Linked DNA regions of Danio rerio. The protein of the gene in region 2 purifies or fractionates together with the protein of the main gene of each other region. This does not show direct contact. Links are inferred from orthologs where the notes say so. Each region holds a gene or a part of one and is shown on either strand. Other genes may lie near its edges.

Region 1 (4,185 bases), on a different chromosome or scaffold from region 2:
ATAGTCTCATCCAAGTCCTCCAAGTCCCATTCAATGGACCTCAAACTGTTTCGTAATTCGTTGGTGGTCCAGTCCACTTCCTCCTTGCTGGCTCCACCCGCGTCCTGTAGCAGCTCTATCCATCTCTGATGAAGACCTTGAGCTGTGTTTACAGCCTTCTGCACCTCTCTAAGACAAATACATTCAATTAAGCCTCAAGGTTAATTGACCTACTACAATGTAGACAAGAATACTACAGAGTGTGCAGATAATTATGAAAATTATAAACATATGATCATAATTGTTTTTTTCCAAAGAGAATTTGACCAGTTCTCAAATACATCGTTCTTAGCCAAATACTAAAATATTTTACTTGTAATTTATTATTAATAAGTGTTATTAGTATTATTATTTAGAATAATTATTATTAAATTGAAAATTAATAGACTGTCTGATGTGTATAATCATTAAGCAGGAAAATAGCCCATAAAAAAGATGCAACTCTCACTAAAAAGTCAAAAATAATGGATGCGATCCTATAAAAAATGTGATAAATTAAAGGTGCTGTGAAGTGCTTTAAAATTAGCATTTTGAATTTGATTTCTTCGTTGTAATCTGAAATAAAATTCATGAAGACAGGGTGGGACATAGAGTAGCCCCTCTCCTTTATAAAAAACATCCAAGAGTGTTTCGTTTTTAATCACAGCTCTGCCAGTGAGAGTGGTTGATCTCAAAAAAGATGCATCAATGGATAAAGCAAATGAAAAGCATCTTGAGGGGGGTGGGTATGTCAGACACTAGAGAGTATTTGATTGGTCAGAATATTTGATGAGAAACTACAATAGATAACCCCCAATAATATAAATCCCCACTTTATAAAAACCAATAGCTGAAGTGTTATACAATACTGATTTCTTTTAAGGACAGCTTATGTATCTGTCTTCCTCCTGCCCTAGTTAGTATTTGTCGTTCAATAGTAATACCTTAATTTTACAGGTTTATTAATGCTGTGATCTTCTTTTGGTCGTTTAATATATATACAAAACGAAGGGCCCAAAAAGGAGGTGTAACATTGGGAAAATATATATATATATATATATATATATATATATATATATATATATATATATATATATATATATATATATATATATATACATACATACATACATACATACATATATATATATATATATATATATATATATATATATATATATATATATATATATATATATATATATATATTTTTTTTTTTTTTTTTCCTCCCCAATGTTACACCTCCTTTTGGTCCCTTCGTTTTGACATGTCAAAATAAACCTGCTTCATAAATATGCACATCTAAATATAATTATCTTACACCCCCAGTGCTTGTTAAAAAATTACACGTAACTTATTAATGATTATACACAATATCAATACTAGGGCTGCACAATATATCGTTTCAGCATCAATATCGCAATGTAGTCATTCGCAATAGTCACATCGCAGGTTGTGCAATGTTGAGTCTGTAGTATAATCTATCATTTTCATGTTTTTTTGGACAGTAGGATTTTAAAACCAGAGGCATAAAAAATTTTACCATTTGTAAGTTAACGTTAGACGTAAAAATGATAAAACACTGTTTATTTATCTTTTTTTATTGTTTGATCTATGCTTGTGGATAGTTTATTATAATTATTGCAGATGCACTTTTCTGCAGAATCATCTGAATCAGATAATTATATCGCAGAATAACTAAATATCGCAATGTTAGATTTTTCCAATATCATACAATCAACACTTAAGAAGTGTGAAATCGGTACAATTAAACAATAATTATGCACGCACTTTATTACAGCGCCTAGACTGCAGTTCTGCACAAGACGTTTGGCCACAGGAGAAACGGTCGTGCTCAACTGAGCCTGGTTTCGCTCAAGTTTTTTTAATTCTTCACTTTCGCCAATTGGTGAAGTTTTTTTCCCTTGCCACTGGCTTGCATGGTTTGGGAGCAGTGGAGCTGCGCATCGATGGATTTGCTTTTCAGTGTTTAAACTCTCAGCAGTAAAAATTAAACCACACTGAACTGAATGGACTGAACTAAACTGAACTTCAACACAAAAATAAGCTGACACTGTTTCAATTTACTATAATCTTCTATGTGAAGCTGCTTTGACACAATCTAGATTGTAAAAGCGCTATAGAAATAAAAGATGAACTGAATTGAAAGGTTTTACTATGATAATGCAATGCTTTTGGATGTCTGACATGGAAAAAACTATGCTATTACGTTACTATCCAAAAGCATACCATAATATGTATCCCCAAAAAGTGACAAACATGGTAACGTTACATATTTGTAAATCCTAACTTATAGCAAAACGCAGATGTCTGGCAACCCAAAACAATACCACTTTAAAGGGAAGACGACACAAATATCGATTAACGCTATGAAGCGTTTGAGAAAAAAATCGATAATTATGGTTGCCATGACAACACGATAACGATCTTACCGAAACAGCTGCTTTAAATGGTGCCGAGTATCAACGTAGGACAAGTCAAATAGCTAATGTACGTAAAGTTTAAAATAATTAACGTTACTCCAATCTGATTCCTGAAAGTGTCTAATTCGACATCTTATATTCGCCCCTAGTCTCCGATCTAAGCCCTGAAACTCACCCTTTCACCACGAAAAACGGATCTTCCATCGACATTTTGCTGCTCAGATGAGTCGATGAGTGGGGTGCGATAATCTCATGCTCCTGACCGCGGCTGGTTTAGCTTTACTTGGACAAAGGAGAGCGCTTTACGTGTTGTTTACATGCGGGACAGAGCCCGGATCCGCTCAGCCGCCATTGCCCGGCGGAATCACATCCGGGTCCTCGAGCGTCTAGACACACGCACGCGCCTGGGCAGATAAACAGCAGCACGGGTTGTTTTGGTTTGTTGAAGTAAAAGAACAAAGCGTTGCCACTAATATGCAAAATGCCTAAATATAAAATATACTTACGAGATATTAGTTTAATTTAGATAATGCTTTAAATATATGTTGGTAGTCAGCATTCTGTCTATTCATCATCCAGGCAATATTATGTAAAGTAGCTTACCATTATTATTATAATAAATCTACTATATGTAAATGTTTACGTAATTGAAAGCTAATTTATAGTTTATGCGTTAAACATATGCTGGTATAGTTGGTGGTTCATTCCACTGTGGTGACCTCTAATAAATAAGGGGACTAAGTCGAAGGAAAATGAATAAAGGAATTTATAACATACTAAAATATTGAACCTACGTCCTCAAAATTAAATTTAACTGAATCATTATACACCGACTTCAAAATGATTACCTTTTGATTTGCCACCAAAATTAACATAAAATAAGAATATTATTATTCACAGAAAATTCACAGTAAATAAAAAATAAAATCCATGTTTTCAGATCTTAGATATTTTGAACTATTGTAAAAGCACACATACATATAGTCCTCCTAACATTTATATATGTGTGTGTAGCCTTTTACGTATGTGTACAATAATTGTATAGTAACATAAAAATGTAACAGGCGACATGGTGGCTCAGTGGTTAGCTCTGTTGCCTCACAGCAAGAAGGTCACTGGTTCGAGTCCCTGCTGGGCCAGTTGACATTTCTGTGTGCAGTTTACATGTTCTCCATGCCGTGTGGGTTTCCTCCGGGTACTCCGGTTTCCCCCACAAGTCCAAAGGCATGCGCTAGGTGAATTTCATAAACTAAATTGTTTGTAGTGTATGTGTGTGAATGTAAGATTGTATGGATGTTTCCCAGTACTGGGTTGCAGCTGGAAATGCATCCGCTGTGTAAAACATATGCTGGAAAAGTTGGTGATTCAGTCGCTGTGGCGACCACAGATTAATAAAGGGACTAAGCCAAAAAGAAAATGAATGAATGTGTGTGAATGAGTGTGTATGGAGGGTTCCCAGTACTGGGTTGCAGCTCTAATGCCAACAGCTGTTCCAAAACATATGCTGGATAAGTTGGTGGTTCATTCCTCTGTGGTGACCACTGATTAATAAAGTGACTAAGCTGAAGAAAAATGAATGAAAATGTATGAATGAATGAGCTACAATCTGATACCATTGTGTGTATTATGGTGCCACCGGTATTTTTTATTTATTATTTATTTAAACATATACTTTATTTAAGTATATTAAACACTTATGTAATAAGTGTGTATTAATATTAAT
Region 2 (3,656 bases):
ATCAGATTGGAAATATATTTATTTTTAACAGGAAAGAAACATTTTTTTTAAATAATGCAAATGTGATAAAGTCACAAGTGTCTCATGGGTATTTAATAATGTGTAGCCTTATTATAGGCGCCTGCCGCGTCTTCCTCTCTTCAAAAACTATATTGCTCAGACAACTGTATTTCCTCTGAGCAAAAAAATATTAATATTATTATTATATTTAAATTGCCTTTCTTTCTTTAACTAAACAGAATGCTGTAATTGGTCAAGCGCGGAAACGTCAGTTTTGTAATAACCCGCACTAAACTGAGCGGACTGTAGTGTAACGTTATATCTGTCATAGATCAAAAATGAGTGGACAAGTGGATTTAGCAAACGCGACAGAAAGAGGAGAGGAGGCATCTTTATTGAGGCATTTTCCATACACACCTTCTTTAAACAGACCCGTGATCAGGAGAATGAGGGTACAGAAGAAGACGTTATGGTAACTTTAAATGATGAGTAGCTAGCATTAACCAGGCGAAGGAGGCTAACGGCAGCGCAGCGCGGACTGGATTCATCGTGTGAGAGACAGACAGAAAAGGAGAGAGAGAGAGAGAGAGAGAGAGAGAGAGAGAGAGAGAGAGGCCCAGAAGAGGAGAGAGACGGGAGAGAAGAGGTATAGTGTGTGTGATTTTGGATACTTTTAGGTTTATAATCAAGTCTTCATCACGAGAAGAGTAGAGAAAATGCAGGGAGAGGAGGAGAGAGACAGTAAACCAGTGTTTGTATTATGAAAGACTCAGATTCATAGAACTCAGATTCATAGAACTGGATTGGAGAAGCATTGTGTGTTATATGTCATGGCAATAATATGCTTTATAAGTTTGTAAAAGCAATACATTAAAATACCCTTAAAAAAAAAAAAAAAAAAAAAAATATATATATATATATATATATATATATATATATATATATATATAATGTATATGTATGTATATATATGTGTATATATATATATATGTGTGTGTATATATATGTATATATATGTATATATGTGTGTGTGTGTGTGTGTATATATATATATATAGTTTTATTAGTATTTTTATTTAATGCTTTGAAAAATCATTTAAATCTTTGTAGACTATAAATGCATATGTACTATATGTCATTTATTTAAATATGTGGGCAACAAATTATAGATTCATTTCATTTAAAAATTATTATATTATTCTTATTTTTTTAATTCAACTATAGGGGTGCGGCCAGGTAGGGGGCCTTACAAGATAATGTGCCCAGGGGCCCCTGAGTTCTTAATCCGGGCCTGGTTGAACCCAATTATCATGTTCTGAACTGTGGTGATGATCAACTATAATTCCAGCGTGACATTGCTGATCTTGCGATGTGACTATTGCAGATTTACACCCTGCAACATCAATGCTGTAACCATATATTGTGCAAAGCTGATTTATAAATCTCAGTTTCCCAAAAAGTGATTACCCCATGACTGGTTTTGTGCTCATCAATGTTTGTTTAAACAGGATTCGGAGCTTCTGCTGCTCTTGATAACGGCTCGTCTGATCAGAACGGATTTCCCAAAAACAAACAGCTGCGAGCCGCTCACCAGCAGCTGGACAGAAACCTGGGTGAGAAACACAAGAGCAGCTTCTCTCATACCTCCATCCAAGGAGTCCGGATGTGACAGTGTGTGTTTGTGTCCTCCAGATGAGATGTCTCTGGGTCTGGGCCGGCTGAAGAATCTGGGTCTGGGCCTGCAGACGGAGATCGATGAGCAGGACATTTCTCTGGACGCTCTGCTTAATAAAGCCGACACCATGGACGGGAAGATCAGCTCCACCAACCGGCAGCTCAAAAGCCTTAAATAGACTCAGGGGGTGATGTCACTTCCTGGAGGCGTGGCCAAGGTGATCATAATTGAAAACATGTGCGCTCGTAAAACATTTCTCAAGTTCTCTCCAAGATAAGGAGGAGTGTGTTGGACAGAGAAAATTAAAACAAAACAAGAGACTTAAGGAAGAACACATGATGGTGTGAGAAAAAAACATTATAGTAACAATGATGATAAATTGTTGTCTTTTTTTTATGCAAATATTGATTATTGAAGGAACAGTTCACCCAAAACAAAGCATTCACTCACTATTTACTCTCCCTCAAGCGTTTCAAAACCTTTACGAGTTTTTTTCTTCCATTGAACACTAAAGAAGATGTTTTGAAGAATGCTGAAAACCGGTAACCATTGACTTCCATAGTAGTAAAAACAAATGCTATGGAAGTCAATGGTTACCGTTTTCTTAGCATTCTTTAAAATATCTAATTTGAAAAGAATGAAAATCATAAAGGTTTGAAACGAGTAAAGGGAAAGTAAATGATGACCGAATTTTTATTTTTGGGTGAACTGTCCCTTTAAGAGAATATATGGTTGTTTCTACTGGAAAGCAAGACAAAAAATGAGTGGGAGATTAGAAAATCATTACTCACTAATTTACTCAAATTGTAAATATACTGGTTTAGGGTTACACTGTTTATAAGCTTTGAGTTAAAAATGTTCCCTGTAAAAAAAATTAAAGCAAAGTTTGTCAGACATGCACACCACAATCACTGCAATCCTTAAAGGGACAGTTCACCCCAAAATAAAATTCTGTCGTCATTTACTGGTGTCTTTCTTCTGGTCAACACAAAAGAAGATACACTGAAGAATGCTGAAGAAAACAGCCATTGGCTTCCATAGTATGGATGTTAATGTCTGTTTTTCCTCCCCAACATTCTTCACAATATCTTCTTTTGTGTTCAGCAGAAGAAAGAAATTATTAAGCGTTTGGAACTTGCGTGTGAGTGTTTATGCTATGTTTTTTTCTGCTAGTATGGTCCTGGTAATTTTCACATTCAATCCATCTCAGCATTGCACTGTGCCATTGTATTTCCCCCTGTGCTCAGATTTTATGTTTGTTAAAGTTATAGTTCACCCTGAAATTTAATTTTACTGACCCTCAAGTGTTTCCAAACCTTTGAATTCCTTTCTTCTGTTGAACACTAAAAGAAGATATTTTGAGTAATGCTGAAAACCGGTAACCATTGACTTCCATAGAAATCAAAACGGATACTATGGAAGTCAATGGTTACCAGTTTTCAGCATTCTTCAAAATATATTTTTTAATGTTTATCAAAAGAATGAAAATCATAAAGTTTTAAAACAAGGGTGAGTAAATGATGACCGAATTTTAATTTTTGTGTGAACTGTCCCTTTAAGAGAGTACACGGTTATTTCTACTGGAAAGCGAGACAGAAATACAGAGTGGGAAATTGAGTTTTGCCTTTATTAGTCATAGTACGTTACTCGAATTTTAAATAAGCTGGTTTAGGGATGAACTGTTTATAAGCTTTGAGTTAAACATGCTACCTGTAGAAAACTAAAATACAGTGTGTCAGACATGCACACCACAATCACTGCACTCCTTAAAGAGACAGTTCACTCCAAAATAAAATTGTCATCATTTACTGGTGTCTTTCTTCTGTTAAACACAAAGGAAGAAACACTGACGAATGCTGAAAAGATAACAGCCATTGGCTTCCATAGTATTGTTTAGATTCTACTATGGATGTTAATGTCTGTTTTCCCTCCTCAACATTCTTCACAATATCTTCTTTTGTGTTCAACAGAAGGTAACTGA
Region 3 (4,269 bases), on a different chromosome or scaffold from region 2:
TGTGCCAGCCCATTGGCATCGACTTCTCTTGATCCATACATGATGGAAGCCTTTAATGAAAGAGACAGAAAACACATTTGTAGAAATCACATTTATTTGCAGGCCTACAATCGCACAATTATCTCTTATACTGCGCTACATAATAACAAGCTTATACAATTTATTCATAAACATGTTTTCTTATATACATTGCTCCTAAAACATACTATTTGAACGTGTTTTTACATATGGCTTATCAATTTCTTCCTTCAATAACATTCAACTATCATTATATTTGATCCTACATGCTACAGAATAGTTTGTATATTAACATGTATGAACTGAAATGCTGGATTTGCGACGTTTTTAATAAATGTCAAGTAGTGACAGACTTTCACGAGTTGTAAACATGTTTTACACAAACTATACATACTTATTAATGTTTAATATTCCCACATTCATTTAGGGACAACTTGTGACATGTTTCCTATATTGTTTACTACTTTAAATATTCGGTCTGAATCATATGCCTCCAAAACAACATTAGCACTATTTAATTGACCATGAACAATGCTGTACTTTAATTGTCATTTGCTGGGAATATGATTTGACTATTTAGTATTAGTAAAGAATAGTTTTCTGAAATTATATTAAGGAGAAAGTCTGAATGTGTGAATATAAACCAACTTTAAGTTACCCTTAAAACGTACTGTACTATTTGGAGACCAAAACAATTGCTCACTATTTTGTATGCGTTTCTTAATTATATTAATGGGGACATTCAAAAATGCTTAACATGAAGAAAGCGGGGCTTAATGTAACTAAACATCAACCAGAAAACCCCAAATTTCTGTCAAACTGTACTTGTAATTAACCCTAATTACTGTAAAAAGAATGAGTCCCAATTAAGCAGATAAATTGAAAAACATCATGTTAGGCGTTTACTCCCCCATTGGAGTCTATTATAAGGATAAAGCTTAACGTGGCTTAATGTACCTTAACAGCAAGTGGGAGAAACCAAATTTCTATAAAAGTTACAAACACTTTCTGATGTCAAAAGAATGAGCTCTTATTTTAGTGGGTAAAAATTATCACGGTATGCAATTCTCCCCACTGAGTCCATTATAAAAGGAAAACGCTTAACATGGCTTAATGTATACCTCAACAAGTGGGGTACACCAAAAATCTATCGAATACTTGTGATTAACACTAACTACTATCAAAAGATCAAGCCCTTAGTCTGTAGATAAAGCGGACAATGTTGTTAAGCATTTTATCCCCATTTCAGTCCATTATAACAGCTTAATGTGGTTTAACTTAACATCTAGAGACAATCAAATTTCTATAGATATATATTCATGAAAAACACTTACTGCTGTAAAAGAACAAGCTTTTATTTTAGTGTATCAAGTGAGCAATATCACTTTCAGCATTCTCCTCACAGAAGCGCATTATAAGGAATCAGCTTAACGTGGCTTAACATATCTTAACCCAGACCAGGGAAACCCAAATTTCTTTACTTGTGATTAAGACAAACTATTTTTAAAAGAATGGGCCTTAATTCCACAGATAAAGTTAACAATATCACGTTAAGTGTTTTCTTCCCCGTTGAAGTCCTTAATAAGGAAAGCTTGACTTAAAAACAGAGGGAAACCAAATTATAAAAAAGCTGTTCAAAAAATCTAACTTAATTTATTATAGATTAACCCTTTGCTGTCAAAAGAATGCACTTGTGCATGTCATTGACATCCCCACAACAACATAGGGAAAAACGCTGTTCACTTAAGCTGTGGAAATGGGGCAAATTTTTAATTTTTTTGCTATATAGTTAGTGCTAACCACAAGTAAAATTTGATAGAAATTTGGTTCCCCCCACTTGTTGTTGAGGTACATTAAGCCACATTAAGCTTTTACTTATAATAGACTTCAATAGTGGAGAAAACGCTTAGCGTGATATTTTTCACTTATGGAATTGGGACTCTGTCTTAACAGTAGTTCGGGTTAATTACAAGTAAAGTTTGATCGAAATGTGGGCTTCTCTGGTTGATGTTTAGGTATATTAAGCTATTGAGGCAAAGTTGGTTTTATATTCGCACATTCTTTCAGTGACAACTTGTGATACACTCCCTATATTGTTTACCATGCTACTTTATATATGAAGTCTGAAATCACATGTAAGTATGACCTAAACATTAGCATTATTTAATTGACTGAGAGCAGCGTGTACTTTGAAAGTCATTAGATGCTAATATGATGTCCCTAATCAGAATGTGCAGTTCTTAGCCAAAATTATATTATTAAGGATAAAGTCTATAGTATAAAATCAACTTAACCTCAATTATTAAGCTTATTTCATGCGTTTTAGAATCTCCCTTAATGATATTACTGTTGTCATTTTGAATTAACGAGAAAACTTGCCCCATATAGTTGCTCACCTTGCTTTGAAATATGCCTTATTAGCTCAATAATTACTCGAAAATAGCTGGCGTAATGTTGTTTATTGGTTAGCAGGCTAGTACTAAACAGATGACTAGTAAAACCGATCTGCGCTGCACCTGCAAAACGAAAGAATGCGGAAATCACGGCTCACAAACTCACAAACACGCATTTTCATTTATAAAACTAGACAGCTATTGTTTTAACTTTGCTGACACACAACAAACATTAACATTCGGGAATCTTACAGTGTAGTTTCATGTCAAGTGAACACAAATCGCGCTGTCAACAAATATGCTTCAGTGAATGAACTTTGCGCTTGCTACTTTACTGACTTCTCTTTTAAACTACCCTCAACAACTATTTACGTAAAGTCTGCACACATGTACAGTTTATAAATACGCATCGTTTACTTTAATATGTACTTTGGTTGTTCGGTTTACCTGGATTTCCTGAGTGAAACTCCGAGCCCTCAGCTGATTTCTTTGACGCGCGGGTCACGTGACTTCTGTTCTATCTTCCGTGTGCGTTCAGAAACATGTAGTAGATTAGTAATGTACTTGACGCATATACTAAACTATTGAGTTTATGTACTATATGTTTAGATCGACAAATACTAGGCAGATGTCTATTATTATTAACTTACCCCAATTAAAAAAGTAAAAAAAAAAAAAAACTAGCCTACATAACAAAAATAAAGTAGACTTTAACTTGGTTTCCACATGGGTAATAAGTAGCCTAACCTTACTAAAAAGAAGTATACTTCACGTTCCTTTTTATTAAGTATAGTTAGTTAATATTGATATATCTTAAGCATACTTCACATAAACATTTATGTAGGCTACTAGTAGTATAGCTATGTGGTTCCCAAATTGGGGTTTGTGAGACAATGAGGGTGGGTTGCTTGGTGATTTCTCTTTAATATATGTTATTAAACTATTAGAATAGCCATATTTTATCCATAACTTACAGAAGATAAACATGGTATTTAATAGTTAAATAAAATAACAGCATGCAAATAAAAAGCCATCAGCCTTTCAATTCTTTTCCCATTGGATTCCAACCCCTGGGGTTATTACACTAGATTAATGGCACAATGTTAAACTCTGACACCTTTACGGCACGCGTGTACATAAAAAATAAAGGCCACGACTACACATAGAGGACGATCCCCAAAATTAAACCAAGAATAGTCTTGTGCTGCAAACAGTGTGCTCACCGTTGTCATTAAGTGAGATTAATAGTAAATTAAATATTGACAAAAAAAATTATTTATATATATATAAATATATATATATTATATATGTCGCTGCGAGTTACTGAAAGTTAGCGTCATAATCTAACGTGCTAACCACTGGACCACAACAGTTGTATATGAAGGACTGACTCATCTGACTAATATCGTCATTAACCTGCAGGCTGGTCATATATAAAAAGAGCAGAGCTGCGGTAAAATGATGAATAAGAAGACTGTAGTCAAGTAAGTAAATAAATTAATTTAAAAAGTGTGACTGCTGAGAGCAACAGATTCTAGAGCTAGGGACACCGGCCCTCGCGGCCAAAAAACGCACCGGCCCACCGGGAATTCTCCCGGTCCTCCCGATTAGCCAATCCGGGCCTGATACACACACACACACACACACACACACACACACACACACACACACACACACACACACACACACACACACACACACACACACACACACACACACACACACACATACATACATACATACATATATATACATACACACACACACACTCACACACACACACTTACACACACACACACACACACACACACACACACACACACATATATATATATATATATATATATATATATATATA

What was found.
Region 1: the proteins of snap29 (region 2) and stx6 purify together in Homo sapiens (co-immunoprecipitation; 3 studies listed by BioGRID and IntAct, counting the BioPlex papers as one, with this or other methods). This does not show direct contact. The link is inferred for Danio rerio from reciprocal best matches to the Homo sapiens genes SNAP29 and STX6.
Region 3: the proteins of snap29 (region 2) and stx7l purify together in Homo sapiens (affinity purification with mass spectrometry; 3 studies listed by BioGRID and IntAct, counting the BioPlex papers as one, with this or other methods). This does not show direct contact. The link is inferred for Danio rerio from reciprocal best matches to the Homo sapiens genes SNAP29 and STX7.

What each region holds. Positions count from the first base shown.
Region 1 is NC_133197.1:16,196,127-16,200,311, forward strand, and holds the start of stx6 (syntaxin-6), read right to left. Parts: upstream 2,820-4,185; 5' UTR 2,673-2,819; coding exon 2,638-2,672; intron 169-2,637; coding exon 1-168. UniProt on the Homo sapiens protein: SNARE promoting movement of transport vesicles to target membranes. Targets endosomes to the trans-Golgi network, and may therefore function in retrograde trafficking.
Region 2 is NC_133183.1:3,069,657-3,073,312, forward strand, and holds part of snap29 (synaptosomal-associated protein 29), read left to right. Parts: intron 1-1,508; coding exon 1,509-1,613; intron 1,614-1,692; coding exon 1,693-1,853; 3' UTR 1,854-1,892; exon of another isoform or gene 1,893-3,656. UniProt on the Homo sapiens protein: SNAREs, soluble N-ethylmaleimide-sensitive factor-attachment protein receptors, are essential proteins for fusion of cellular membranes.
Region 3 is NC_133195.1:49,559,332-49,563,600, reverse strand, and holds the start of stx7l (syntaxin-7), read right to left. Parts: upstream 2,908-4,269; 5' UTR 2,859-2,907; intron 51-2,858; 5' UTR 42-50; coding exon 1-41. UniProt on the Homo sapiens protein: May be involved in protein trafficking from the plasma membrane to the early endosome (EE) as well as in homotypic fusion of endocytic organelles. Mediates the endocytic trafficking from early endosomes to late endosomes and lysosomes.